Mytilus edulis: one gene and its partners. The protein of the gene in region 1 purifies or fractionates together with the protein of each later gene. This does not show direct contact. Links are inferred from orthologs where the notes say so. Each region holds a gene or a part of one and is shown in the gene's direction. Other genes may lie near its edges.

Region 1 (7,843 bases):
AAATCATTCAGACAGACAGAAATTTAAAAATATTTTGGTTGAATATATAGTAGAAAAGTCAAAATTTCTCTTTCGGTCAGACAAAACATTAAACAGTTTAACACAGACTGGCATAGTTTCCTGACTATCCCATTTACAAATCGAAATTGCTAATTTTATGCCAAAATTTTTGTTTCCATTCCCTCACAAAATTAAGCAAATGACATCTTTGTGTCGGACCCAATTTCAGGCAAATTAGTCTACTGTTTGAGGCTGTCAAAATGAAAATTGCTGTTGGTCCTGGTTACCTTGGCTTCCAAATCAACTATGTAGTTCAAAAGCTGCTTAACAAAGGGAAAAATGGCTGATTTTTTTTCTCATAAATTTTCATTATCTAACTTTAGTTTGCCTCAACCAAATATTATGAAACTTATTATACACAATGCTTATAACCACAAAACTCAGATCCAGTTTGAATTATGGATGCGTCACTTTTACCGTTTTAGAGTTATGCCCTTTACAAATCTTTGTTTGCCTCAACCATATGGTAATAAACTTATACAGAATGCTTATTTAAACAAAATACAGATCAAGTTTGAAATTTGGTTGTGTCACTTTACTGTTCCTCAGTTATGTCCCTTTATTACTTTATTTGATATGCAAGTCAGGGCATCATCTGTGTCTGGACACATTACAAGTCTATTTCTTGATAGTCGCTTTATTTTTTTTTACCCCTTTCAGATCAAACATCTCGTGATAAATCCTTAAACCAACAATTTTTTTAAATCTTGGCTTAAGTTGTTGTAATTGAAATAAAGAAAGAGATATTTCTTTTATTTAGATATCCAATGGGTCATTTCAGAGTTGTCAGACTTTTCTTTTAGATCATGCAGTGGATATAGAAAAATAAAAAGATGTATGATTGCCAGTGAGACAACTCTTCATTAGAGATCAAATGATGTAATAGCTAGAATTTTTTCGTCAGGTCATGAATGACCTTACAATGTAAAAAATAAGCAAAAACTTTAACCTCCAGGTAAACCTAAAAACTTTTAAATTATATAAGGAAGGTCCATACAAACTGACAATCAAACGATATTATCTATCATACATGTATCGAGTGGAAAACAAATATCATATTAATAACTTTGGCACAGATGTATTCCAGAAGAAAATGGTAGGTTAACCATTGCTTTATAGCTAGCTTTACCTCCCACTTGTATGAGAGATCTTCATACTAAGTTCCCATATATTAACAAAATTGGTTGATTAACCCAAACAGACACAACAAGGAATTAGTCAATTATTAGCAACCCTGAGGTTTTGTAAATATCTAGTGTTGACTGATGTTTGTAGGTGGTACTTTCAATTTGTAAATATTCAGAGAAATTCATACCACATTGCAAGCTGTGAAAGGCCCAACATGACAAATGTATAGCAGTTCTAACAAGAACACTAAATTTTTTATAAGCTGCCAACTAAAAGTTCTAATTTATTCTTGCAACATCGAGGCAGGTGACTGCCAAACGGTGTCCATGCATTTTCTCATGAACTGTTCTACCAAAGCTTCTCACATCTTGTATGTTGTAATGATTCTGATGACAAAATGGATGTCAAGTTTGATATTGACGATTTTTACTTTCACCGTTCAGGAGTTGTTTCTTGACAGATTGAAAAATGGTGTTTGCAGTCATGATCATGCTTTAACTCATGAACCATTCAATCAAAGCTTTTAAAATTTTAATATATGTTGTAACTTGTGAAAAATGAAGGTCAAGTTGAAGTCAAATATTGATGATTGTACATGTCACTTTTACCATTCAGGAGTTTTGATTCTTGTGATATTGAAAAATGCCAGGACACAAATAAAATATGTTAAAACATCCAGTTTTCTGTTAATCTGAAATTCATTGTTTACTTCTGTTCATTATAAGAAGTCTATTTTACAAAACACTTATTTCATGCCCCTGCAGTAGCGGAGGAGCATTATGTTTTCTCCTTGTCCCAAAGTTGGTTTGCGATCTTTCACTTTAGTTTGCCTCAACCACAGTGGTTTCCGTTAAAGTTTGGCAATGGTAGCCAATATATACAGTTAAATACAAGAAAAGCAGAAACTTTAGGAGCCCTGGCACACTAAATTGTAGGGGCCATTGGCAAGTGGGCCCCTGTTAATTCATAGATGCCAACTATTACGATTTTTCCGTAGTTTTTCCGATTTTGCGATATAAACTACGCTATTACGGTCAAAGTCGAATAGTTACGGATTCCCAATCACCGACGTTCAATTTTGTAAAACGCGGATTTTTATCATTACTTTTCCGTCCGGGTCCAGTATTTAGGAAACGCCAATCTAATGCTTCCGGTTTCTCGGGAGTTATCAACCTATTGTTGGGTAACTAATTGACTTCCGAAGAGTCAAACTTGCATTTTATTAAGTAGCTTTTTCCCTTTCTCTACTTCTCCTTGACAAAACAAAAATGTTTGAGTCGAGAGCATCTGAACAATTAATGAATGGAATACATACTACAGACAACATGTTAAATGACAAATTTTAGTGTACATCACTTTGCAACCACTCGTCAGTAATTTTGATTGGTAAATGCACGTTTAATATAAATGATTACTGAAAACTTTTCAAAAATACGGAAAATTTGATAGTTTGTTACTGATTGTGTCAAAAGGGGGTTGGCATCTATGCTAATTTCAAACCCTGCTCAACCATATGTTATATAATTTTATATGCAGTGCTTATTACAGATTCAACCACAAAACACAGATCAAATTTGAATTTTGGTGTCATCATTTTAACCATTCTAAAGGTATATATCCCTTTGCAAATGGAAAAATTGCTGAATTTTTTTCGTTTTTGTTCTCCAACTTTAGTTTGCCTCTACCAAATGTTATGAAACTTATACACTATGCTTATTACCACAAAACACAGATCAAGTTTGCATTTTGGTGGTGTCACTTTCAACCATTCTAGAGTTATGCTCCTGTACAAATGGAGAATTCTGCGTTCTCTTACTTTAGTTTGCCTCAACCAAATGCTACGAAACATATACACAATGCTTTTAACTTTAAAATGCACATCAAGTTTGAATTTGATGATGTCACTTTTACTGTTCTAGAGTTATGCTTGTTTATAATATTGATTGAAACATTGCTGATTTTTTGTTTACCTTTTCTATCTTGAGTTCACCTCTACCAAATGTTATGAAACTTATTCACAACAGGGCGCCATTACACGCCAAAACCACCTGTAGGAAACACTAATACTATTACCTCAAAACTCGGGGGCGGATGCAGGAATTTTCGAAAGGGGGTGTGCTAACCCAGGGCAAAGGGGGGGTGCAAAACATATGTCCCGATACAAATGCATTGATCGGCAAAAATAAAGGGGGGGTGCGCACCCCCGGAACCCCCCCCCCCCCCCCCCTGGATCCGCCTCTGAAACTCAGATCAAGTACACATTTGGGTAGCATCACTTTTATTTTTCTTCAGTTATTTCCCTTTGTAACTTTATAAGATAAGTGGGGGGATCTTCTGTGTCCCATGGACACAATTCCCATTTATTTAATTGCAGATTTGAAAAGCCAGGGGGAGAAACTTAATTTGCCAATAGAAAAGCAAAAGAATCCATTTCGGAAAAAATAATTGTTAAATGATCCCATTTTGTTGAATGTGAATTTCAATAATTAATTTGCAGATTTTTGGCAACTGAAATTTCTATTTAGCTATAAATTGTTACCTCCAACAGGCGCATGTGAAATAATTGAACTGATTTTTGACAATAAAAAAAATGCACACCCAATGTCCCCTTTTTGTAGGACTAAACTGGAATTACACATGTAATTTTTTGTTACCCCAAAAAGTTTTAAAGAATGTACATTGTATCTTCAAATTTTTCCTATTATTGCATTGCATAGGGGGTAAGAACAATTTAGAATTGTTTTATAACTGGTTTTGATGGAATATTTTTCGAATTGCTTCTGAAAAATCCACAATTAATTTTTTTCAATTAGAATTTTTGATATACAATTATACATAATAGAAAGCTCTAAAAAATTTGGAGCTAGAAATATATGAAGTACTGAATTGGAGTTAAATAAAATATATTTACTTTTTTTTCTTAAACAAAATCCAAAGGAATCCTTTCTAAAAAGGAGAAAGCAGACCACCAAGGCCAAATAAAAAAAGTTGTGTTTCCTTTTACCCTACCTTCCCTATTATCAAAAATAAAAAATAGCCTACCTTAAAGTTTTTTGGGTCATTTTTCAATGAGCACTATTAAAGTCAGAATGTCCATCCCATACACTCAATGAAACAAAAATGGTAAAATAAAAAAAAATCTGTACCTACATGTACCCTCCTTTTTTTAGCCCAACCATAATAAAGAAAAGAAAAACACTTCTAGAGATCCCCATTAGATTAATTCAGAGTTTTGTGTTTCATTTGCTGTTTGCTTATATTAAATATATTTATAGAAACTTTTTTTTAGGTACTGGTACTTATACATACCTCCTTTTAGTTCATAAAATTCAAATCGCATGAGCTGTTGATTATCAAAATATTGTAAATAATTATTTATTCGTTATCTAACAAAATATTCAAATTTGTTATAAATACCTGATAAGTGTTATTCAAACTATTTCTAAACAAAATGTTTACATTTTATTTATATATCAGAGCATCTTAACAGCTTTCCTAAGTAAATTAACTGGAAAAATGGTTATTACATAATGTCACACACCCTTAGGGAGCCTCTATATCTCCTCTAGACTTCTCATTACATATTGACCAGACAACATTTTACATCCAGATAATGGATGTAAGAAGGAATCTGATTGGCTGATAACAGTCAGTAACCTCAGGCACATATCATCTTTGATCCAATTATGGCTCCTCTGTCACTGTGTTGTCAGGTGCTTTGCTGTAAATTTTACAGGGACATAAAGTGACCTGAAGTGTCCTTAATTTAACACCTTCATTGCCCTGTATTGGACCATTATTTGTTATGGATTATTTTCTTGTGCAAAAAGGGCTCATTAAGGATGTGAATAATTTGACTGTCTACCATGGAGGTCATTTGAGTTCACAGCACCATAATATGGTCTTACTTCCTTTATGATGGATTTTAAGTGAAGGCCTGGGATCCTTGCAATAGTTTGTTTATTTGTTATTATTGTTGATATTTTATAGAGTTTATTGATATTTACACTGTGCAATACTACTTCTTTGGTGTTCTCAACAAATCAAGATATTATATAAAACATATCTGATGCATTTTGTGTTCATATGGATATATCAGGACTGGCATGTTTTAAAAGTTGCATATAATTAGTGAAAAAAATTGTTTGTCTGCATCAGGAAAACATTGACATACTTTGACAGGACAAGTAAGGATATAAAATTTAATTCTAATGGTTCATGAGGAAAGTGGTGAAAACAAATTATTGGTCATGGATAGTGCCATGGATGATCGTATGTTGTCAAACCGTGGGCACTGGCTAAGACAGGAACAGGAGTACCATTTACAAGCCATGCGTCTCAAACGTTAGTATACAAAACTTCTCTATTTCATTACTATTCTTTTTGTGTTAATGGTTTATACATCACTTGTAGGGTATGCATGTTAGATGTACAGTCATACCTATGTAGGTGTCCTTGACCAAGATTTTGAATTAAATAGCCTCTGTAAAGTGACCAATATCTTTTCTGAATGGGACCATACAAATTTTTAATGGGAGATCAAAAAGTGTAAATTTCTCATTATATTATCAGTTCTGATCTTTTGTATTTAGGAAATCAGGTATCTAGATTAAGATAAATAGTTACCTCATCTTAGGGGATAAGTAAGGAGAACTTACTTATCTATTAATCATCATACATAATGACAAAAACAAATACATAAACAACAACACCCTTCAATCCATTCAAGATTGACAGCAGACACAAGTTGTCAAATTCTTGTATATGACAGAAAACTCCCCTGACAAATATTTATTTCATCTGATTGACCCCAGGGATTTTAATTGTAACATAGAATATAAGTTGCCCTGTGGGGGACCTCCTCAGTCAGCTGATTCATGTACCAGCTGTGTATATATGACTGGTAACATACCACACATACTTTAGTTGGGATGCTCTGATGTCAGATAGTACATCAATACTTTTTTGCAATAGATATAATGTTATCCAGGCATTATTTTTGTTTTCTTGTCTAGACAATCAATTTTAAACCTTAAAATTTAACTTTTACTGTTCATATTTCAATTTGAATGTTTCAGTTCATTAGTCAAGAGTAAGACAATACACATGTTTAAAGAATGTCAGTCTACAATACTTGAATAATCTGGCTTCTTTTGAACATCAGTAATGTAAAGTAAGGAGACACTGAATTCAAAATACAAATCTGAATGACCTTTTTAAACTGCTGAAGATTTAAATTTGACCATTGAACTGAAATAACTACCTACAATTGGCCATAGATGAAGTAATGAATGCTTGGTCAATCTTTATCAAAGGAGCCATGAAATTTCCCATGTGAAAACATTGTATTTTCTTTGTGATTTCACTTAAATTATGTACAAAGTAGTTAAATTAAGTTTATAATTTGTATTGTGGGAAACTCAGTGCTCATTCATGTGTAGCCAGCTGTAAACAATATGATGGAAGACATCTGAATATGTATGGCATGTAAGGAATGTAGAACCAGGAAATATCCTGTCTTTATTAGAGATAAACAAGAATGTAATTTTGATATATTATGTAAACTCAAGAATTTAAGGTCAGGTATTGTTATTAAGACCTTTTCTGTCTTTATACCTAATAAAGCTGCAGACTGGTTGACAAATAAATAATGCAGTTAGATTGACTTTTTAATTGCAAGATCATAAAGAGCCTATAGTATAATCCCTTCATTATCTTGCACTGTACAAACATTGCTGGACAAATTATTGATTTTGAATAAACAATCACATGCAAAACTTTATGTCCACTACATGATCTGGAAATGGTTTTAAAAGTTCCTCTTTTGGACTAAATAGATCAAAACATAATAAAATGTGAATGTTTTCAAAAACTCTTACCTATTTTTTTTCTGATTGAATAAATGACATGATCAGGACCATCAAATTTTGTATTTTTAGCACCAGAAATTCTCTTCGAACATCATATACATTTTCCTAAGTTTTTATAAATCTTCAAAATACTCTACATTATATAATGATTATATTAATTGCCAAGTTCAAAAACCTTGACTACTGGAGTATAATACCTTTCATTTGGGAACCATTAGTCTAGAGGTACATTGTATTACATTGATAGTAAAAGTAAAAAGCACAGAACTAGCTCCAATTGATTCTTATCAAGAAAACATGAAGCAAAGTTTTACGCATTTATTACCAGCTGTTTATTACCTCATATTGCCCATAACTTTTATTTTACACACTTTTATTTCGATATCATTTCAGACCCAATATATATATATAAGTTTACTTTTTGCAAAATGTGACTTGAAAGGAGAGTTGTCTCATTGGCACTCATGCCACATCTTATATCTATATATGTCTTTATATTTTTCCTTAGAATAATAGATCAGTCTCAAACATAAGTTTGATCAACTGAATCAAATGCTCTGACTGCACTTTATGAAATAAATTGAATCTTTTTTTGGATTTAATCTTGCCGGTCTCTTAGATCAGTCTACTTTTATTGGATAAGTGTTTGACTTATTTTGCATGTATATGTATTGTTTTTAATGGTGGTTTAAGTGTACAAATGTCATTACCCCCTAAGACATCTGTTGGTAGTTGTGTTCATGATTGTAGTTTATATTAAGTAAAACCAGATATTGAACTAATTG
Region 2 (7,625 bases), on another chromosome or scaffold:
GAAGTACTGTTAGTGACAATTGCATGGTACAAATTTTAGTTGATTTCTGAATTAATTTTGATTAAATTTTTTGAATTCTGAATTAATTTTGATTACATTGTTTGAATTCTGAAATTTTTTATACTTGTTGTAGTTTTATAGATTAGGTCCGAGTATACAGTTATCATCCTTTGATTTTCGTCCTCCACGGATCTAGACCCTAGTGTGGACAGTATGTTACTTGCCAATTTTTTTATACCCCTTCCAAATTTATTTCTTCACGTTTTATGCCTCAAATAGCAAGTAGTAAGGGGGATAAAATTACACTGTATAAACATTTGGGTCATAATTTGAAAGATAAGTAGTGATTTGGTCCATCTTAAAATGGTTAAAAATTAGCATTTCTGAAGCTGCCAAAAGATTTCAAGACCCCCTTAACATAAAATTGTCCACATTTTGAGTTAGAGCTGATGAAGTTTTCTATAATTTTGATATAATTTGTCTCAAAAGTAGTACAACAGTATTAACACACTAAATATATCTACGAAATAACTGTGGTCTAGACCATTTATTAAAAAAATTAAAAATTAAATAAAACCTTCGTCTCACGTTCTGTAAATGATTTTTTTTTTAAATCACAAAATCTGGAATATTATATCATGTTGAACATAGTTCATACAGAGTATATTTATTTCTTACTCAAAACTAAAGCTGCAGAACTTTGCTTCTTGTATGATGTTACAGTTACAGGTTAACATTGATTTACTGTTGATTTAAAAAAAAAAGAGAAAAGGATTTGATTTACAGTAGTTTGTAAGAAAACAGACATTTTTACATATATATCATTCCAACTCTGCCACATTATTCAGACTCCAAGCTATCAAGCAGTCTTAAGTCTTTCTCCTTAGCCATGTAGATGATGCTGTGTGGCTGGCAAACAGTCTGCACGGTTAGCCACTAGTCCGATGCCCCACACTAGTAAAATTTAATTTGGACTAGTGATCATGAGTTTTTGCAAAACTTGGATCAATAAGAAATATGTCAGAATATTGGTCTTCGGACTAGTTGTTGAAAAAGTTTTTGGTGCAGACTGGGCAAAGAAGTCACACATACCAATTTTGAAGTCTGTGGTCATGATCAAATGAGGTTTTGTATAATCAGAATATCTCTACTCAAGGTGAGAGCTAGATCAATTGAAGCAGAACCAAATACAATGTATGATAAAATAATGATTAAAAAGTCACCATGGCCTTTTGTAATGCTTCTGTCTTCTAGGGGAGCATAAATACTTCATTGCAATTTTGATAAAAGGGCACTGTTGAACAGTATACTTCACTGAACTGGTTAAATTAAACATTTTTAAAATTTTCACTACAAATCATCCATGTATATAAGTATTCAGAAGGGTCATGGTCATTATCTATGAACCACAGACTTTTGGGGTTATGAACCCCCCTTTTTTCTATTTAGTGGAGTGAAGCACATATAAAAAATATTTATTATACATAAGTATGGTTAAAAGCATGAATATAAATTGAGCAAAGAAATATCAAAGAAAATTTGCTAAAAATTTCAAACACACAAAAAAGGGGGTAGCCCATCCCACCCAAGCACTTATTCTATCTTTCAGGCATCTTGTTTTTATAACAACATATACATGTAAGCAGTGCTGTAGTTATCTTTCAGTAAAATTTGTTTTGACTACATGGAACAGTACTACAAATAATGCAAACTTTATCCCCAAGTTTTTTGTAGCAAATCAGTACTTCATAAATAAATAAATAATACTTGGATGTTTATATACAATACAGATAACACATTGGGAACCTTGTAATCTGTTTAAAATTAGACTTGCTCAAATGGCATGTTGGTTAAAAATAAAAGGATTAATAAATGTATACATGTATACTAAAGATACCAATTAAAATGATCTCTAATTTATCAATTCGTCAGCCATAAGATTATTCACATTATACCATGATAAGGAACAGTTAGTGTATGGCTTCATAGATAATGCACTTCTATATTTGCATGTAATCAAAAAGATATGAGAACATCCCATTTTTAGTATTAGCTAAACAAACATTGAAATAACAAAAACAAATATTCAATTAACAGGCTATTATTTGAACTTGGAATTATTTTTAATTATGCAATTTGCTTGATTTCTTGTTATTGAAATTTTTAATAAATTCCATGTTCCAAATAAAATCAAACATTAATATTAGGGCCTAGGCCAAATAAAAAAGTATGTGTGGTTCCAGTTACATCTAAAAAAAAAGGTTAAGGTAGGTAGGTAGGGATTTTTTTTTTTATTTTATGTTTTTTTTTTACATTTACTCTATGGGAGCAACATTCTGACTTTAACAGTGCTTAATGAAAAATGACAATAAAATCTTTAGGGTAGGCTATTTTTAAGCCAAAAAGGATGGACGGTAGGGTAACTGGAACCACACATATATTTTTATTTGGCCCTATGAAATTATATGATTATCAAGGAAAAGAAAAATGTAAAAAAATTATAAGAATTATTTGCCTATAATATACTTCATATATATACAATGTAGCTAGAATTAGAAAGTGAAAAATTCTGCAACTTAAAACATAAACCTTTAATTATAGAAAATTTGTGTATTATAGAAAATATTTATAACAACATTATTTAACGTATTAAAACATTTCTATGTCTATTCTTATATGATACAGAATTTGGTACAGCTATGATTCTTATTAATATGTGTAAATAAAAACTGTAATTTCTATTTATCATCAAAAGTCATAAAATGACTATAAAATGTTCTGCTTCATCAAATATTTTTCTTCTTCTAAAATCTTCATATATAAACAATGATAAAGGACACAATGAAATAACTTGGGCTTCATCTTCTAAAATATCCTTTAAATACATCTCAAGACTCTCTCCTTTGAAAGCAATTTTTCAAATTAATTTCCCTTCATATACATCAATGATCATGTGCATATTGGAGTCCAAAAATTACACCTGACTTTTATGATTAAATCTTATCATGTGATTGGTATGGTGATCTATTACAGTAGCACTGATATGCATTTAATTACCACAGTTACAGATCATTAATTAAACCAATACACAGGTGTCAGATTCAAGCTTTAGACAGCAACAACCAATTAGGACAGAACAAAATTGAAATAAAGAAGTTTTTTTAAATCAGAATACTGGGTCCATGTATCACTATTTTTCAGGGGTTTTTCTTTCAAAATATAAAGCACACAGAGTTGGCACCTTAAGATGTTTTATATGTTTAACAAACAAAGTGTACTACATGTAGCTCAGCAAAAATGGAGCAATGGCTTACACCCAACTGCAAGCTATAAAGGGACCAAAAAAAAATACTAATGTAAAACAAAGACTAAAAAGGCTTCAGTTTATTGTAAGACTTTTCATAAACATTATTTTGGGAAGGCCTCACAGCAAATATAAATAATGTATCCAGGGTAACATGACATTAGACTTGATCATGTACATGTTGATTCTTTGGATATTTTTTTTGTAACTGGATGCCTAATGGTGCAATGGTTCGCAGCTAGGTCAAATATCAAAAATCATTTTTTTTTTTTTTTTTAATTCAAGATGTCAGGTCAAATTACATGTACAATACATCTGACATTGAATAAGGACATCAGGTATAATAAAGCAATCTTTGGAACCAAGGATTTGTATTACATGTACATAATTTTGTTGTGTGTACTTTACAAATCCTTGTTGGAACTGACACGCATAATAAATCATATATATGAATTTGATATAATAAGGCTTATAGCTTAATACAGTAGGGTGCATGCATTTAAGTGTAACAAAAAAAAGAAAATGACAAATGTCTGAAATGGGTTGCCACACTTGGCATATGACTTGCAACAGAGATCATCCACAAGGAAAATACTTGTACAAATTAAAAAATGTCAGCTTCTATCTAGTCCAAATAATTATGACGTCTGGCAAGGCTATTTTTTTTTTCTGAGAAGAAGGCGTCCCAGAAAAAAAATAAAATAGTCTTACAAGACGTCATAATTATTTGGACTAGCTGTTATATATAAATCAGTTCATTTGGTATGCTAGGAAAAAGTCAAAGCTGTTGAACCTGGGACTGTTATGCTAACTAGTACAAATGTATAATAGTCTGAGGTAGAATGCAAATAACAGTTTTACACGGACTATTAAAATTGAGAATGGGGAAATTTGTGTCAAAGAGACAACCCCGACCAAATCACAGGCACTTGTTTCTATCCATTGGAAGACCCACTATCAACGTATATATCGTATATATACATTGATAGGGGTCTTCACATAGATGTTATTACATCTATGGTCTTCCAATGGATATCATGTACTGTAGACCAAATACTGAAATAGCGGAAAACTATAAACATCAAGAACCGATAGAAATCTCATTATATTTGATCAAAAAGACGAAAATTCATCTAAATATGAAAATTAATCTAGTTCCTATCTATAAAATATTGTAAGAATGTATACTTTTATATTTACTTGCCAGTATTGTTAGAAATTAATAAAATCTGTATTTTTCAAAAGTTGAAATGGCCGCTTCGTGTCAAAAAGTAACGGTGTGATCGATTGGATGATTAAAATGCATCTTGGACGTTGATTGGCTAATCAACTCGATACCAAGATGTCAGCCCCCATGTATTGTTGACAATTACTGAGTCAGTGCACGAAAGTGTAATTTACCTCAAAATACATTGTTTTAAAACATAAAAAAGAATTTGAAGCATAAATGTACGTTTGAAATAATATTCCAGCATATAAATTCATTGAGAAATCTTTTCTAAAAACCCAAAATATGGAAAGATGTCACATCTCAGCACATATTTTCATAATGTGTTATAGTAGTCTCAGATATATACCATATATATAATTTACTAACCCGAATAATTCAGTCGTTATATATCAGCTGATCTACGTAGGCTACATTAACCTCGTATGGGAGAAAATCGGACACGGGAAGGGCTTGAATTATTCGAGTTAATAATTTACCAGAAGTTAGTTATTGGTGCAAAATCATAGAGATCTTACACTTGTTTCCCTTTCTTCTTCGTTGAATACACAGTCAGACTCTTTTTGAGTGTATGAGGGGCCTTGGTGGCCGAGTGGTCTAAGTAGTTACAACTGTACTACTGTAATCACTAGCCAGTCAACATTGAGGTTGTGAGTTCAAATCCTTCTCTTGTGGATGCACTCGACTCCAATCTTTATATCTTAATTGACTAGGATTGTCAGTTTTCCTATCGAAGGTCGGTGGTTTTCTCTGGGCACTCCGGCTTCCTCCACCAATAAAAACTTATAGCCACGAAATAGCCTGAATGCAGTGCTTTAAAGTGGTGTTAAAACACCAAAAATCAATCAATTGAGTGTGTGACTCTTGCTCGTGAAGCTTTCCTCCTCATGATTATTAAATCCAGCAGCACTACATGCCAGTAGCTTCTTACAATATTTATCTACAAATTATAACAAAGAAACACTGTTATCAGGTAACGTTTTTTTTTATATCAAACAATTATTAAAAATGATTGGGTGTTTAATTCCGTCCTATATTTGTTGATATGTTGATAAATATACATTTTATTCAAAGTCTCATGCAAACAAGACTGGAACAGGAAGTAGATCTGAAAAAAAAAGTTAAAGATTTTGTTCTTTGTAGAATGAAAAATTCGTGAAATTTTCCTGATTTTTTGTTTTTTGTTTTTTATTAATTTTTTACCGAAATTGGGGACTTCATCCCCATATAATCATGATAATGAATCTGGTTTTTTTTTGCGCTTCAACAGATCATTCCAATAGATTTATTATTTGTTGGGTTGACTTAGCTTATTCTTGTTATTTACCCTGTATATATATACAAAGCAACACGTCAAGAGCATAGACTATCTGGCATTTGTTAGTCTTGTATGATTTGTTATTTCAGTTCATTTATATGTTTCAAGTTTAGTATGACATCCATTTTCACTGAAATAAAACACATTTTTATTGAGCCGGCCTCTATGTGCAAGATTTTCTTGCTACATGTAGGTTGAAGACCCATTGATATCCATCTGCTGTTATCTGCTCTTTGGTCAGGATGTTGTCTCTTAATGACACATTCCCCATTTCCATTCTCAATTTTATAGAAAATATATATATTAGACTAAGACAGACATAAAAAATAATATTAGTTTTACTTGAATTTAAAAAAACAGGACCCAACCAACAGTGCATATATATCTATTCAAAGACTAAAAATTACTTAACTTTTTTTCTGTAAAAGTCATTATCAAAACTGGAGAATGAATTATGCAATTTTTTCAATATTCAACTTGAAGCAGGAAAAACAGATCAATATTTATTATTTAATATCAGCTGTGACTCCTATTTTATGAAACTATTATGGAGACAATTGAATAAGCATTCGAAAACAAAATGCTGGATTCTAGTCAATTTAGCAAAAAATATCAGTTTGATTTAAAATATATATACATGTGTGTAGTAGATTGGCCAATTTTAATTCTTTCTTATATCATTATATATTCAATTGATATGCCTAGATATTGGCATAAATCCTGTGATTATTTATGGCCTTCTTGAAGTCTCATAATATGTGAAAAGACTTGTTCAATATTATTCCAAATCAAAATATCAGTACATTGAATAAGTAACTTAGGCAGTTTTCTTGGATATTTTTGGTAAATGTAATCCATTATTCTAAATGTTCAACTGAGTCCTAACTCGAATAATTCAAGCCCTTTCGGTGTCCGATTTTCTCCCACACGAGGGCTTGAACTCCTTATGATCATTGGCCGCGTCGCCTGCTATCTGTGAGAGATCTAGCCAATCAGCGGCGATCAGGATAATGAGTCTGCGCAACTCTCTTGTAATTGTCTTACCAAACATGTGTGTTCAATTAACACAAATCCGATAATAATTAATTTACATCAATTAACATCAGTTTACATCATTTAACATCAATTAACATCCGGAACTCCTCCTTCTTTAGCTGCCAATTTAAATCAAAATTCCCATATTGCAAAGCGGTGTGAAAATTCCGGTTGACGGTCATGATCAAGGAAGACGTTCAGGCGTTAATGTAGCCTTCGTAGATCAGCGGAATATAACGACTGAATTATTCGGGTTAACTGAGTCCAAGTTTTCTTGAGTGCAAAATTTGGCAAAGCCATGAAATCAAATATCAATGAAAAACAAATTTTTTCTTTTATCAACAAAAATTGGTGTCCACGAAAAAAAAGTATCCAGTCATGACAGTATCACATTTGTGTTGTCCTGACTTTCATATTGTGAAAACTTGTGTATTGATATATGAATATTAAAAGGATGAAAAAAAACTATTTGATATTTCTTTTGACCAAATCAGCAACAAATTGAAACCCTTCCAGAAAAAAGGTAAAAACACAGAAAAACAAAAACAACAAAAAATCATTGTCCTAACTTGTTAATGACATTATATTTATTGGGTTAAACCAGTCTTTTTACTAAAACAAATTAGATTCACAAAAAAGTCTTGACATGTTAATGAACTACAAATAATAAGGAAAGTCAGCTGTTTTAACAGTGAACATAAACAACAACTTTTCATATGTTGAAAAAACTATGATTGTTT
Region 3 (7,975 bases), on another chromosome or scaffold:
TGGATATTATTCCGATAAGAATGATGAGATAACAAGTTAAAATGAAGCTATAATATTCTGATATCGCAATATTTCGACACCTAAATGGTCATACATCCCATTGGTCCGACGTTTCGATCATTTAGGTTATACGCTAACGGGATTTTAACATAAGAAAGCCAAATAAAAGGTTCAATATTAGGATAACCTTGTCCTCCGTTTGAAGCGGTGAAACAAGATATAAAAAAGTAATACGTAGTGCCAAAGTAGCCCGAAGGTCATCACTAGCGTAATTTAAAATAAGTACAAACTTCTTTGTCAAGTGTTGTTTGATTAATAAGATATCTCAAGATACACGGCGGCCGACTAAAGTAAAATCAAACACAGTTTAACGTAACAATGAGTGGTCACATTTTCCTTGTGATGTTTTATATTAAAAATTAATTGTCAATTTGTTGATATAAATATACTAGTAGCACTTTACTCATTTTAGTAATGTTAGTTAGTACTCTTGTCATATCTGATTTAGTGATGTAAATGAAATTGCGGTATGATCCAGACTCAACATATTGCACTACAATAATAAAAAAAAATCCGCCCTATGGTTGTCTGATCTTGAAGCGGTTGGTAGGCTTTCAAACTAACAGGAGACCATACGCTTCCTGAATTTTAATGTACAGCTCATCATGGAACTTTCTAAACAATTAAAAATATGTCATATGTTATATTTTCCCCTTGCTTCAAATATTTTGCTTCGAATTATTTATATCAAATTTGCAGATATATGATTGTAAATACGTGCAATCAAATGATATGGAGGTATAATAAGATTTAGATAATGCAAGGGCGACTACAGATACATTTGTGTGACTTAATGGTTGATTTTCAAAGACTCCGAGAGAAAACGTTACGTAACATGCGTTACCGTTAAAATCAACCAACATTAATTAATACTATGATAGAAATATATTTCCCAACAGTAATACAGCATTCCTATAAAATTGTTTCATTTTTGTATTTGTTTTGACTCGATTTTTCTACTGGAAGTATCCGTGAATTGAAATTGCACCCATGACCTTTGACCTCGATTTAAAAAAAATGCACCATAATTTCTTTTGACGATCGACCGGGATATTTAGAAAGTACACATTCTTAGCTTTCCAGTGATATATAATTTAGCCGTGTGTTAGGTAGGTGCATTAAAAATGTGAATTTGGCTCTCATATCACTCGCCTATAGTGTATAGTGACACGTATATAAATTATTTGCATTTCTTTAAGATAATCAAATCATTGAAAAAGATCAGAGGCGGACTCGGCCATTTTTAAAAGGGTTGGGGCCACTGAGTGTTTATTACATAATACAAGAGATACGTTACCCCGAAATACTACAAGCACCAAAGTAAGATTCGTGCGTATTCGATCCGACGGACGTCAACTGTTTACCAGCGGCTCCTTGACCCTGTATAGATAATTACATCCTTAGTGGCACCGTTCAATGTCAACTTCGTAAACTTTGGTTTTGGAGAATCTAGGTCATCCTGCTTCGCCGACGCAATCTTTGCCAGCCAAATATCAGATATTGCGGGGAAGAGTGAGTGGCTATCTCTAATGGCTGAAATTATAGTTCTTACAGTAGCCAAAGCAATTCCAATACAGTTTATCTGCGACACATTTTTAAGTGGTTTTGTGTCAAAAAAATGTCCTAAAACTTTTGAATACGTGCATCCTCCAAAACAATAAATAAAAAAATAAATAAGTGCTAACAAATTCACTGCCCCGATGATCGATCCGTCAAGGCTTAATTATATTCTGCACCTTCCTGAACTTGCACTTTAAATTTATTTATAAACACATTTCCTACACCCGAGGTGCATAGTAGATGGAAGGCGATAGAAAATGGTATAAAAAACTGAAAAAAAATAGATGTATAAATATATATCTGTAAAAATTATTTAAACACGATTAAAAAGATAACAAAAACTACACGAAACCTATAATCAATTTAGTGGAATAAATGTATATGATTATATATGAAATATAAATGATAAGTGATGTGAACCTCAAAAAAAGTTTATCTGATTACAAGCAATCCTTGGTCTAATTTGTCTAACTTTCTCCATTTGCTTCATTAAGCATTGGTAAGGTCAGAATGTCCTTCTCATAGACTATATGTCTACCCACCTACCCTTTTTCAAAGATGTAATCGGAAACACACATATTTTGTGGGGGCCTAATAGAATATTACCCATTGTGGGATGGTGTATTTCCCATTATCCTTGGTTATGATATCCATTATGTTTATAAGATAAGGAATCTTCTAGAACAGTTGTTTTTGAAGTGGAACATTTGATTTCCAAGCCCGCAGAAATTGTTAAATGTTTAACTTTAACCATTTTGGATTAAAATTGTAGTTACTCTGAATCTCAGGCTTGTATTGTCCTGAATATGTGAAAAAGTTTTTTTTTAATCAGATAGGCATGGAGACTAAAATTCATTTGACGCTTTAATTTCTCTTTGTTGTAAAAAAAAAAAAAAAAGACTACCTACCTACCCACTTGTTCAACCTTTGGGTAGGTTTGGACAAATCATAACATTTTTAAGTGTAGCCTAATTAAACAGTGTACATAAATCAAAAAAAAATACAAACTATTATCTATATTTTAAAATCGGCAGTTCAAACAAACGAAACATAGGAAATTGATTGCTAAACTTGATATGAAATATTTGCTTAAAGTTATGAAATAAAATAACTTGGAAATTTACTCACACTGTCATTGACTGTAGTTTACCAAGTACTGCACGAAAATCGTAAATATAAAAAACGAATCACAATCTTTCTTCACATCTGAATCAATGAAACTGATAAGGGTACCACTGATAAGATTTTACACGTCATGTTTTAAACAGTGAAAGTACGTGTAAAATACGGGATTTGAAATATCAAAAATAAGTAATAATGACAAAAAATATTCAAGTTTGGTAACATCATGAAACGTACTGACATTTAACATGGTTAACTGTCAGGTTATGTAAGCGGCCATTTTTTTTTAGAAATAATGGGTTAATTGTAACACTTGTAAAACTGACAAAAAACAATGCCTAAATATGAAAAATACATAGTTCATAACCCTGTACCGATAATAATTGCAATGCTCGCCTTAAGCTATCACGTGCACTAGTCTTGTTCATCTTGACAAAATCTTTTAAAAACCTCTACGATAATATTTAAGTTTGACAATGTTTGAGTATTTTAGCTGACATATGATTTCTGATTACAAGTTTAATTGATTATACTTCATGTCGAAATGTATAATATTGTAATTAGTTATCTGTGTATTTCTCAGTCTTATGTGTTCTTGCATTTATTTGTACTGTTTTCTGTCATGTAAATTAATATTGTCATTTTAGCGGTATATTTAAAATTGCCATTAAGCGCGAGGTTTGGCTAGCCACAAAACCAGGATCAATCCCAAATTTGTTCTTAAAATACCAATTAAAAAATATGGAAGTTGTTATCTTATATTTCATATTTAGGCATTGTTTTTTTTCTTCCAAAACGTTCCGCACGGTCAGTTTAAAAAGTGTTACAATAAACCCATTAGTAAAGCCATCAAAGCTTTGGATGAAATTAATTCTAAAAATTGATACAGATACAGTTAAGTCGGCCTCATATCTTGACTTACATCTATAAATTGACAATGAGGGTCGGTTGAAAACAAAACTTTACGCATGCCAAGAAATCCTCGCTAAAAATTCCGGTCGACCTCCTACGGCAGTCATTAGTAGCTAAAGATTTGATTTCATTCAAGAAATTAATTTATGACCTTCATGTACGTGTCGCTTAGAACACGGCCATATACCAAATGGTCAATAATAATCATTCATGTAATTTGCTCTATGGGATATTTTCAGAATTTCAACAGAGGCAATTTCTTGGCATGACAAAAAAAGATGATTTCAGTTTTCCAATTGTGAACTTTCCATTTCTAAGTAGCAACATTCCAACAGCACCTGCATACGGGGTATATATCCCAATTTGCTTGTATCTCCTATCATGATTTTCTTGATAGAGGGTTGCTGCTCACAAGGAAGCTATTAAACCAAGAGTTCCAAATGGTGAAGTTGAAATCATCCCTTGGTAAATTTTACGGACGCCATCACGAGTTGGTTGACCGTTTTTGGAATAACCGTTTCAGCGAAATGATATCGGATATGTTCCTTACGTCGTAACTACAGTCCCCTTCCCTTTCATGAATGTGACCTACCGAATTAGACTATTTACCGGATTTGTTATCACATTAGCAACACGACGGGTGCCACATGTGGAGCAGGGTCTACAATGTGAATTGTTCATGGTTAGACAGAATAAAGACTGTTCTAAACGAATGCGGTATGACTATCTCTAATGTGTGGGAAACGATGATTGTGAAGTATTTCTATATGTTAAATTTCAACAGGGACTTTCTATACTAAAGTTAGTCAGGAACATATATACTATACATTAATATACTGTTTCCAGAGTTTGTAAAGAAAGTCCCTGCCGATTTCACTGATTACTCAGCTTTTGTGGACCACATGAAAACCGCGTCTGGTCAAGTTTTACCAATTTTGATCTTTGAACAAATATGTATTTTAAATGGTGAAGTGATTTTTTCCGTTAAAAAACCCCCCACAAAATCAAATATATACTTATAATTGAATACAACAGGGACCAAACAAAGTGGCAAAACCATTATCAATTAAGTGTTCGGTACACCCCCCTTTTTTCAAAAAATAATAAAAAGAAAATCACGAACTACAAAAAAAAAAAAAAAACGAAAGATGCAACACAGAACCCATATATCTTCATATTTTACTTTATAAGAATATGTCATGTTAATGAAGAAATTATACAAATATTTTTTTTAAAAGTTTGTAAAGGAAAATGTGTGTCGAAGGGAAACGAGCCGGGTCCCAGAAAAGTAACCAGTCTTGAATTATCGCCCCTGTGACCCAAATATTATTGAAATCGAGGCGGTTAAAAAGAATGAATACAATCAACGAAAGTGTGAAAGACAGGGCAAATAAAACGTAAAATAGAAGTAATATGTTACTTCAAGAACCCGTACAGGTATGAAAACTGACAATGCTATTAGATGACTAAATATACCTACCCAAAATAAGTCACATTTCCTGTAAATAAAGTGTATTAGAGCTAAAAAACAGAACAACTAAAAGTGACATGAATCCATATAAACAGGTGTCTTATTGTTATTCGTAGATTTCCTCCTTTTTAACGATTTGAATTAAATTCATTCAAAATTGAATTGGCACCAGCAGTGTTCACATGAAGAAATTTATTGGCATCAGAAATATATGATGAGCCTGACAGTCTCAACTGAACTTGAGACCATTGTCTTGATAGTTGGCAAGGACCAGTCTGCTCAGAAATTCAGCTTTTTTCTTCAAAATTCCCAATTGCAACATCCTATCAAATCACTCTCTCTACATGCAAATGAATCAGCAATTACACACATGATTAGTCTTCAAATATTATCAGTCTGGGGTAACCATGATCATGATAACAACATCAGAACATCAACAATTTTGATTTGTCCCTCTATAAAAAAAAGTCGCTGTCGCGTAAATTTGGCACCATGTTTTTTGTTAAAATTTTCTTGAATATAGACCGTGTTTACTAAAGAACATGTTTTTCAATTAGCGGAAGAAAAATCCTGTCCAAATAACCACTGCAGTCCTACCTTTTATTGTGTTTGCACTGTATAATCCTGACCTTCACATAATCCAGGATTATTTTGTATGGTGGAATCCGACATTGTTATTGCCGGAAGTGTTGCCGTGGAGTTCCACGTGCTCTCCATTTTCTTGTGTCTCTTGGAGCTTTTTGTCATCTTTATGTAAAAAGCACGGGAAATTGTATCATCAATGACAATGATCTTACTGGAGAATAACGAATGTTATGGAACAAGGGATCCTCATAGAAACCAAGATGGCAGTTTTACAATGTAAATAATCTTAAAAATTTGAAGGTCAGGATTATACAGTGCAAACACAATAAAAAGTAAGACCGTAGTGGATATTTGGACTGGATTTAACTTTCACTAAATAAAAACATCATCTTGAATAAACACGGCTGATATTTAAAAAAATTTTAACAAAAAAACATGGTGCCAATTTTACGTGATCGTGATGGCGACTATAGTCTAGTCCAAATATTCATGATATTTATGAGTCTTGCAATGCTATTTCAAATAATTACACAAGGCTATTTTGATTTTCTTCTGAGACATCTTTCTACGATGTCATAACGCTGAAGCCATTTTTAGTGTCTTCTGAAGGCTTATGGTGCCGACTTTAAAATCATTAATCCTCTGTATGCCGCATTCGTTTCTGTGTATTACAATTTCATAACAACTTCTGATTCCAGACATCGATTTTAATGCATGATTATGCATTTGAATCATTTAATTTGTAAATTAGGATTGAAAAACAATCACTATCGTAAATGTGTATCCTTTTATTTATGTTAATTATTAGATTTCATCTCTTCTACATGAACGTTATTTGTTTATTTGTAACCGGATGTTTTTACTGTAGATATTTGTAGTACGCATGCATGAATTTAGTATCGGGACAACTCGCCCTGTTTACATGTTCGCCCTTGAAGTTACGAATTTGCAATCTTGTAGACAAGAAGATTTTGTTTTTAATAAATAAAAGGGATCTATTTCTTATTAAATTGTTGTCTTTATTCATTGTTTTCCTTTGTCATGTGAATTAGATACCCTTTTACTTCAAATGGTTTGAATCTATTTATAAAATTATTCAAGACTCAGTTGACAAGAGCAGTCAGTACGTTGCTGTTGGGAGAATTTTTATTAAACTCTAAATGCTTATAGAATATGAAATATAATCTAAACTGAATGTACCTCCTTCTGAATAATTTATTGCAATATAAATATAAATCCCTTTTGATAAGAGAAATCTGACTTTTGTCAGAAATATTTTTTTCACATGTGCAAAGGTAATCACGTGTGGCGGCCATATTAGTTTGTTTACAAATTTGTTAAGAAGCCTCTAGAACCATGACCTAACCATAAATAGTCTTCCGAAAACTTAAACTTTATGCAATACTATTTTATCAATCATGATTATTTTCATAAATTTAAATTTGATTATTTAAAGAAATAAAATTATAACAATTACCATTTTAGATTAGAGATTCTCCACAGACATGCTTTGATCTATTTATAGCCAAATTAGTTTACCTGTGTGAAAATGTAAATAATGGATATTTAATTTGTTTACTAAACAAGTAAAGACAAACTATGGATGGGAGATAATAATTCACATAAATATTTCAGGACATTTGACTTATTTTAATAAATATAGGATTTAAAAACTGCAAGTGCAAACAAATTCAATCATTACATAATCAGCTGATAATTTTTTAAGCAACCATCGTGGTGATGTAACTGATAAAAAACACTCCATCAGTCCTCCAGCCCTTTCACATATTAAGCAATATATCTGCTTAATTATTATTGCAGAATATTCAATGAATATACATTCATCGTCTAATTGAATATATCGGGTAATCTGATATTTTTAGCTGACATTTTGGGTATCCGGTTGGCCGGAGTCTACTGTACTACCTTAAAGTAAAATTTTTAAGATTTTTAACTCAAAAGTGGGAAAATTCATTATATTTGGAACAACTTTTCTAAATGAGGGGTCAAATTAATAAAGAAGATATATAACATGTATAAGTTAAGAAACATCACAAAATTCTTTTGACATGTTTTGACCATTTAATACTTAATAGATGCATAGTTCTTGGGGAAAAGTTTCATCAAATAATATGAATATAAAGGTGCTCATTTTTTACAGTGGGTTGTAATGTTCTTCCAGTGAGGGTTACCCCTCATTTGGAGTGTTGTTCCCAACCTGTTAAAAGTCCATCTTTGTGCATAATTCAAAATTGGAAATTTCTA
Region 4 (7,906 bases), on another chromosome or scaffold:
TTCATGTATGGGACAATATAACAAATCAAATAAAATATAGGGGAAGTTCCTGTGGTCACCCCAACCCTCCTGTTTGAGAACTTGGAAACGGTTGAGATCCCCACACCAAAACAATATATATTCATGTATGGGCCAATATAACTAATTAAATGAAATATAGATGGAGTCCCTGGGGTCACCCTACCCCTCCTGTTTGAGAACTTGGAAACCAATGAGATCCCGACCCCTAAACCATATATATTCATGTATGGGACAATATAACAAATAAAATGAAATGTAGGGGAAGTCCCTAGGGTCACCCTACCCCCAGTGGCGGATCCAGAAATTTTCATAAGTGGGGGCACGCTTCAGTGATTCCCTATATAAGCAACCAATTTTTTTCCCAAAAAGGGGGGGCGGGCCCCCTGCCCCCCTAAATCCTCTTCCTACCCCTACCTGTTTGAGAACTTGAAAACCGTTGAGATCCCCACCCCTAAATTATATATATTCATATGTATGGGACAAAATAACAAATCATTTACATTTACTATGGGCAGGTCAGTCAGACCTCACCTTTGATCCCTGTTGTAGTGAACATTTGTCTGATTCGTGTCTCATAACTTTTGTACTATAGAACACAAACTCAGTTTTCTTTTCAGGGAAACCAGTCCATTCATACTATTACATGTTCATACTAAGTCAACTTGAACTTCTAGCAGTCAAATAAAACCAAGGTTAACTACCAAATAGAACAACTGCAATCATTGGGAACTTGTACCACTGCAGACTCACCATTAAAAAATATACATTGATATATGCATTGCTTTTGAAACCTTGATAACATATAAATTATTAGCCTTAATAAATAAATCATTAGATAAACATGAATGTACTATATATGAATGTTTAATGTTGAGGCAACATTGCCACAGTTTTCATAATTACGGTTGCCTTGGTTTTTGGTTAACTGCCTTCAGCGCTTACAGCGCTTTGATTGTATTTCATTAATGTAATATTGTGTAGTCCCTTCCTTTATGTTGTATCTTATAGGAAACAATGATAAATCTCTGTTGAGTGAAAAAAATGGTTTTCAACTTTCTTTTATGCATCATATTTGAGAAACAGCATAACCATCAACAACCAAATTACATAACTTCACAATGATTAGTTAACATTTGAATATATTCTATATATTGGATGCTCAAGTCAAAATTAAAAATTAATGGTAGGATTATAAAAAAAATCAACCAGTTATCAGACTAAATTATATTGGTTCATAGAAATAAATATAAACTATTTATCATATTGAATTAAAGATGTTCACACTATCTTTAACAGTGCAGTTAAAAGCAAAAATATAAGTAATATTTGGATGTATATGGTGTAATTGACAGAATGTACATTACCAAATAACCCAAACAATTCACTTACATTTAACATAAACAAAAATGATTATACATGAATACTTCAAGAATGCTTGTCAATAGATTGTGATGATGTTATATTGTGATCTGAACCATCTAAATACATTACTTCTCCATTTCATTGTAGTCCCAAAAGATCAAGAAAGTCAAGATCAAGGTCACGAACTCCAAGGAAAAGGTCAACATCCAGAAGTCCTAGCAGACATCGACATAAACACAAGAAAAATAAATATAGAGACTGATATATAATTAATTTATTTATATGCTTTGTTGTATGAACATACTGTCCACAAAATAAGGTATCAGTTATAAATGACTAATTGGGCATGTTAAGAAAACCTGGGTGTTACAATCAATCAGTTCTCAAGGAAAACATTGATAGTGAAATAATCTGAAGAAGAAATGTGACAATCATGTCATTTTAATGAAGAAAGTCTAAACCTTGACCTTGGTTTTTATGAGGATGAACATTTGTTGAATTAGTGATTTGTGTGCAATTAGTTGTCATTACAGAACAGTGTCAAATTTAAATATCTGTCATTAGATATATAAAACCAAACTGAAAACCTGTTATTTATCATAATTTGTAAATATGTACATCTTATAACATTTCTGGTCAACATTTGTATATACTCATTTATACCACACAACAATTATCATAAAAATTGACATCAATTTAAATATTAAATGATTTTGCAGCTTCTCATAGATTAGTAGCCTGTTTTACAAGATACTGAATTGAATATAAGTTACTTCAAAAATATTCTATTTGATTTGTAATAAGACTGCTTCTCATGATAAAATATAATGTTCAGAATATTGCTTAGAAATGGAAAATAGGCTTTATGTGCTTTAGCATTATCATAGAAAGAATTTACATGTATATGTATGCACTTCTGGAAATATTTATCGTGTATCCAGAGCTGCATCTTTGAATTTTTAAAATGCATTTATATTTCAAAGGAATTAGAAGTGCACTTTGTCAACTAAATTTTTCATATAATCAAAGGTTGTTTTGAATAAAACTACCATTGTCTAAATGTTTGTATTTCTTTAATTAAAATGGCATTTATTTTTGTGATATGTTTATGGGTTAGATTGTTTATCTTAAACTAACATAGTCCTATGGCATATCTTGTTACATGGCATCCACTGGCCATCATGTTTGTCAGCTCTTAAACTAACATAGTCCTATGGCATATCTTTTTACATGGCATCCACTGGCCATCATGTTTGTCAGCTCTTAAACTAACATAGTCCTATGGCATATCTTGTTACATGGCATCCACTGGCCATCATGTTTGTCAGCTCTTAAACTAACATAGTCCTATGGCATATCTTTTTACATGGCATCCACTGGCCATCATGTTTGTCAGCTCTTAAACTAACATAGTCCTATGGCATTTCTTGTTACATGGCATCCACTGGTCATCATGTTTGTCAGCTTGCAATAACAATTTCTGTAATATTCTCGTCTGACAATACCCTGCTAATAAAAACTAATCTTTAACATAACCATCCTCAAGTTTTCATGTGTCAGAACTATCATGTTACACACCAATATGGCTGATCTTACTTTAAATAGAACAGTAGTTATTGTGAACCAAATGAAACTTTTCAACAGAGTCATCTCCTATTGGTCAATACATTTTAACTTTTGTTAGTTTTATTGTCCCATTAAATTAATTCAATAGCTATTGTTCTTGTTCTCTCTGTAGTTTATTTACTGTGAACTTTAATAAAAAATGTGGTATGATTCAGAATGAGACAACTCTCCAACAGAGACCAAATAACAACTATAGGTTACCGTTTAACCTTCTTTACAATGAGAGCAACCCATATCGCATAGTCAGCTTTAAAAAGCCTAGAAATGACAAATGAAAAAAAAAATCAAAGAGAAAGTATTTTTGTACATATGACGTCACATGTACACCCTTTTGCATGCTGAATGAGATGGTGGTATTGTGTTTGATTCCAGTGAATTAGATTAATTGGACTTTCTAGATAACTATACATTGGAAAGATGGTCTTCTGGTTAGGAATTCAAATTGCTATAATTTTTGTGTACTCAATGTTTATTACAAAACACAGATCAATAGTATTTTTTTCTGAACAGCATCCATTTTAAATCATATTGAAGAGTAATGCCAAGATTTTTGTTGAGTCAGATTCTAAGGTATGACTGTGAAGAATGTAGTTATGTTTGATGGGAGTTTTCTCGTTAGAAGCTGTGAGAAATGTACATTTGTCAGTGAAAGATCGGAGTAAGACTTGATGGTTCAGATAGTAATTTAATAATGGCTACAAAATATACAATCGGTATTGCCGTAGCGACGTTACGTAACAAGTAAATGTCCCGAAGGTTTGTGTGTGACGTTCCCGGAATAATAGCAGATATTACAGTCAGGATGAAAAGTCATCCCACTTTGCAACAGCATCAATATCTTTCTGAAGGCTATTACAATCTTTTGTTAGATTTGATACTTTTGTATATGATGCTGACAGTCATTTCAAATATTCTGGTAGGTCATTTATATATATACCAGAAATAGAACAGGACCCAGAACCTGTGGGACACCAAAAGTAACTGAAGCAACATCTGATGACTCTTGTCAAGGACTACTGTTTGTGTGTGGTTTTGTAAAAAGGTAGAGATCCAGTTTTAGTTAACATAAAGCGATGTGGGACTTGGTCAAAAGCTATTTGGCAAAGTCCATAACTATTTTATACTCTGTTTAGGTGAGAATTTAGGAGCTAGTGATGATTTTTTTTTTAAAGTCAGGACGGTAGTTTTGAGTTAAAAAAAAAAGCAGGATAAGATACATTTTTTGTACTTTCCAAAAAGAAGATGGCAGGATGACAATTTATGTAAAAAAAAGATTAGCCTCATTAGGATAAACTCTAGTCCAATTAATTATGACGTTGAGGAAAGTTTTTTTCATCGATTTTAGCTTTGACACCTTGTAAGGCGTCAAAGAAAAAAATATAGCCTTTCAATGCATCATAATTGTTTGGACTAGATAAACCAAGAAATTGCATATTTACAATTCCTATAAAGACAAACTAATAATAAAAAAGCAGGATGGAAAAGAATGATATAAAAACGCAGGACAGAGATTACAACTAAAGAAAAAGGCAATACAATTTTTTTTAGTCAGCCACCTCATTAAAAATACAAGAGACATATAATCTGGGACTATTATACTATTAAAGATATATTGATAAAACAAATGTGTCTGAAGAAGTGTGAAAACAGAGGCACATGTGTCTGGTGAAAACTATCCACCAAAGTTCAAATGAGGTGAATTTTAAAATATCTCTATAAATAGTGATTTGACTTGCTATCTTGATCATTATAATTATTTTAATTGTTATAGGCAGAAAATATCAAATACGTAAATCACGCTAAGAATGATTGAACTATTTATAAATTGGCGCCAGTAACATTTTTTCAACTTTGACCTTTAAAATATCAACCAATCAAAAAAATTGACACAAAAAAATCGCGGGATTTCTTTCATCAAAACAATAACATGTGTATCAACAAACTGATCAACAAAAACATTATAAAGTAAATTGGAATAATAACTACACGTAACATGTCGCGGTCTTCGAAGTAAGTATTAGTTCCAGAATTTTTTAGGGCTGAAGAATTGCATATGCACCTGTTATGGATATGGTCAAATAAAATTATTTTTGGAGAAGTGGGAGGGGACAGCTACATCGCTTTTAGTTTTGTTCTACTAGATTGCTTTCCCCTTTATTCTTTTAAGTCACCTTTATTTAGAGTAATTATACATTGTAAATGGTGTTAGCCGTATCACTCCTCCAGATCTGCTAGTGTAAAGTCTACATGTCTATAGAGGAATCCTTTCGGGATAACTTATTTAATACCGACAGGACAATCTCCAACAACAAGGGATTAGCACTAGCAGTGCACCAAGAAGACTTATTATGGTGGAAGAAGGCAAGAATCCCAATTGCTTGCACTAACTTTAGTGTATTGTCAGATTATATTATTAATCATGTTAATATAAATGTTTTTGTATGTCATATGAATTCATACTAAAGCATGCTTTTTCAATGGAAATTGTGACGTCACAATGCCTTCTTAATAATAATAGTGCGAAAACCCATGAGATGAAGATCGATAGTGTAAAGTAAATACATCAGGGGTCCAGTTTACCACTGCTATTTCTCATTGTTTCTCATTCTGATTTGGGGGGGAGGGGGTGGCCTCTGTGGCAGAGTGGTCTAAGTTGTTACTTCTGTAATCACAAGCCAGTCATCACTGAGGTTGTGAGTTCGAACCCCGCTCGTGCAGGAGCACTCAAATCCAATCTTTATTGACTAGGATTGTCAACTTCCCTATCAAAGGAAAACTCCCACACCCGGAGGAGTCCTTCAGCTGGCTCCTAACATATATGTTACTAATTCAGTGATAACGGACGTCATACTAAATTCCGAATCATACACAAGAAACTAAAATTAAAAATCATACAAGACTAACAAAGGCATGGCTAGAGGCTCCTGACTTGGGATAGGCGCAAAAAAATGTGGCACGGTTAAACATGTTTTTTTAGATCTCAACCCTCCCCCTATACATTGTACCTCTAGCCAATGAAGAAAAAACAAACGCACAACAATACGCATAGTAAAACTCAGTTTAAGAGAGGTCAGAGTCTGATGTCAGAATAGGTATCAAAAGAAACTAAACAAAATGTCTATAATACATAAATTAACTAAGGACTATTAGCAGTTACTGACATGCCAGCTCCAGACCTCAATTAAACTGATTGAAAGATTATGTCTTCATCATATGAATATCAAGCACAACCCTTCTCGTTAGGGGTTCAGTATTATACCATCATAAAATATATGAGAAGAACATTATAATATACTAGAACACACCCGTGACTGAATTAAAGTATATAACTATGCGTAAGCCATATTTTAGTATTCGTATTGTCATCTGATAAAAGTCATGTCGATTATCAAAATGATTATAAGATATGCAGTTTTCTCTGCTTTCAAAATCTTTCTGTTTGAACCCGTCGACCTGGAGCTTATCAATTATTGGTAATATTAATTATTTGGAAAACAAAAGGTCCTGGAATGGAGTAGTTTTTAATCAACAGCATTATCCTATATTAGCTATATATAGTTATAAATAAAGTTGAATTCTTTTAAATTCAAATTCTTCAAATTGAAAACTGTACCTATATGCCTTATTTTAAGTCTAGATTTTCAGTATTTGTATTGTTATCTTAGAAAATCTTACTGATTAAAATACTACAATAGGGAACAATTTGACAATGATTGAATTTAGTAGTGTCAACCCTGTGATTATGACCCGTGTATATAGCAAAATCCTAAATACACTGTTTGGTAGTGTGCCTGTCAGATGTGAAATGTACAGATAAGGTAATAGGTAACAGGTGAATATACTATTGGTATCGGTATTGGATTCGACCCAGAACTTGTTAATTATGTGGAAAACAAAAGGGTCTGGAGTGGTGTAATTTTTAATCTACACCATTGTCCTATATTAGCTATATATAAAGTTGAATTCTTTGATTTGTTGTTTTTATCCCACGATGGCTGACAAATTGGACCTCGTTATTTTAGTATTATAGATACATTGTATATTGGAACAAAAAATAGACACATCAAAATTCAGAAACAGTTTTAATTTTCTGAAACATAAGTGCATTTGTTTTGATTATGTTCGAAAAAAAAAACTTTGTATGTATATATTTAAAAGCTATATAGTTAAGATAATTAAGTTTGAGATGACCCGAGTCAATGACTCTCAATTGTCGATACGAAGACTGACTCTTAACCAAGTAGAAGAAGAATTGATTAAAATTGCTTTTTACAAGTATACTATTTTTCAGAGAACAGGAAATTCCAGAAACAGTAGAAACCATAGTTACAGTTGACACCAATTTTGAGAATTTGAGCAACAAACTGAAGTTGAGTAAAGATGTTCGGAATAAAGCTTGGGACTACTGGCAGATTGTGGAGAAAGTAACTGCTGATCTAAAGGTAGTGATAACAGTGTGATGATGGGTGGGGTTTGGGATGGAAGGCACAGGCACTTGATTTATTTTGTAATGGATTGGTGAGAGGTCAGGAAGTTCAAATTTTGTGGTTATGTATTCAAAGTAAAATGCAATTGTATACATGATGGCCATGAAATAGTATGCACAACTGTATGAAGAGAAAAAAGCACAATTTCTCAAGTAACTATATATACATCCTTAGCTTTGATATTTATGACTTTAGCGTTCCCGGTTGAGATTAATTAAGAAAAGCACTTTAGATGCAGCACCTCTAAATGATATTTTTTCTTTCTTAGTGTACACTAAATGGACATTGAAACATCTTAATGAATAGTACAAGTTTGATATATGTATAGTCTTCATGTTACTTTAATTTCTTCTGTTGTAGGAAATATCAAAGTCTGACCTATTGGCATGCTGCATTTACCAGGCAGTCAT

What was found.
Region 2: the proteins of dual specificity tyrosine-phosphorylation-regulated kinase 1B-like (region 1) and anaphase-promoting complex subunit 4-like purify together in Homo sapiens (affinity purification with mass spectrometry; 3 studies listed by BioGRID and IntAct, with this or other methods). This does not show direct contact. The link is inferred for Mytilus edulis from reciprocal best matches to the Homo sapiens genes DYRK1A and ANAPC4.
Region 3: the proteins of dual specificity tyrosine-phosphorylation-regulated kinase 1B-like (region 1) and cell division cycle protein 27 homolog purify together in Homo sapiens (affinity purification with mass spectrometry; 3 studies listed by BioGRID and IntAct, with this or other methods). This does not show direct contact. The link is inferred for Mytilus edulis from reciprocal best matches to the Homo sapiens genes DYRK1A and CDC27.
Region 4: the proteins of dual specificity tyrosine-phosphorylation-regulated kinase 1B-like (region 1) and retinoblastoma-associated protein-like purify together in Homo sapiens (affinity purification with mass spectrometry; 4 studies listed by BioGRID and IntAct, with this or other methods). This does not show direct contact. The link is inferred for Mytilus edulis from reciprocal best matches to the Homo sapiens genes DYRK1A and RB1.

Annotation. Positions count from the first base shown.
Region 1 is NC_092348.1:79,381,995-79,389,837, forward strand, and holds the start of dual specificity tyrosine-phosphorylation-regulated kinase 1B-like, read left to right. Parts: upstream 1-4,821; 5' UTR 4,822-5,399; coding exon 5,400-5,532; intron 5,533-7,843. UniProt on the Homo sapiens protein: Dual-specificity kinase which possesses both serine/threonine and tyrosine kinase activities. Exhibits a substrate preference for proline at position P+1 and arginine at position P-3.
Region 2 is NC_092347.1:40,681,734-40,689,358, reverse strand, and holds the start of anaphase-promoting complex subunit 4-like, read left to right. Parts: upstream 1-4,613; 5' UTR 4,614-4,680; exon of another isoform or gene 4,681-4,753; intron 4,754-7,625. UniProt on the Homo sapiens protein: Component of the anaphase promoting complex/cyclosome (APC/C), a cell cycle-regulated E3 ubiquitin ligase that controls progression through mitosis and the G1 phase of the cell cycle.
Region 3 is NC_092357.1:17,614,540-17,622,514, reverse strand, and holds the start of cell division cycle protein 27 homolog, read left to right. Parts: upstream 1-4,961; 5' UTR 4,962-5,067; coding exon 5,068-5,091; intron 5,092-7,975. UniProt on the Homo sapiens protein: Component of the anaphase promoting complex/cyclosome (APC/C), a cell cycle-regulated E3 ubiquitin ligase that controls progression through mitosis and the G1 phase of the cell cycle.
Region 4 is NC_092346.1:87,036,148-87,044,053, reverse strand, and holds the start of retinoblastoma-associated protein-like, read left to right. Parts: upstream 1-4,897; 5' UTR 4,898-5,002; coding exon 5,003-5,019; intron 5,020-7,300; coding exon 7,301-7,451; intron 7,452-7,856; coding exon 7,857-7,906. Other genes in the region: U2 snRNP-associated SURP motif-containing protein-like, read left to right, coding at 1,531-1,645. UniProt on the Homo sapiens protein: Tumor suppressor that is a key regulator of the G1/S transition of the cell cycle. The hypophosphorylated form binds transcription regulators of the E2F family, preventing transcription of E2F-responsive genes.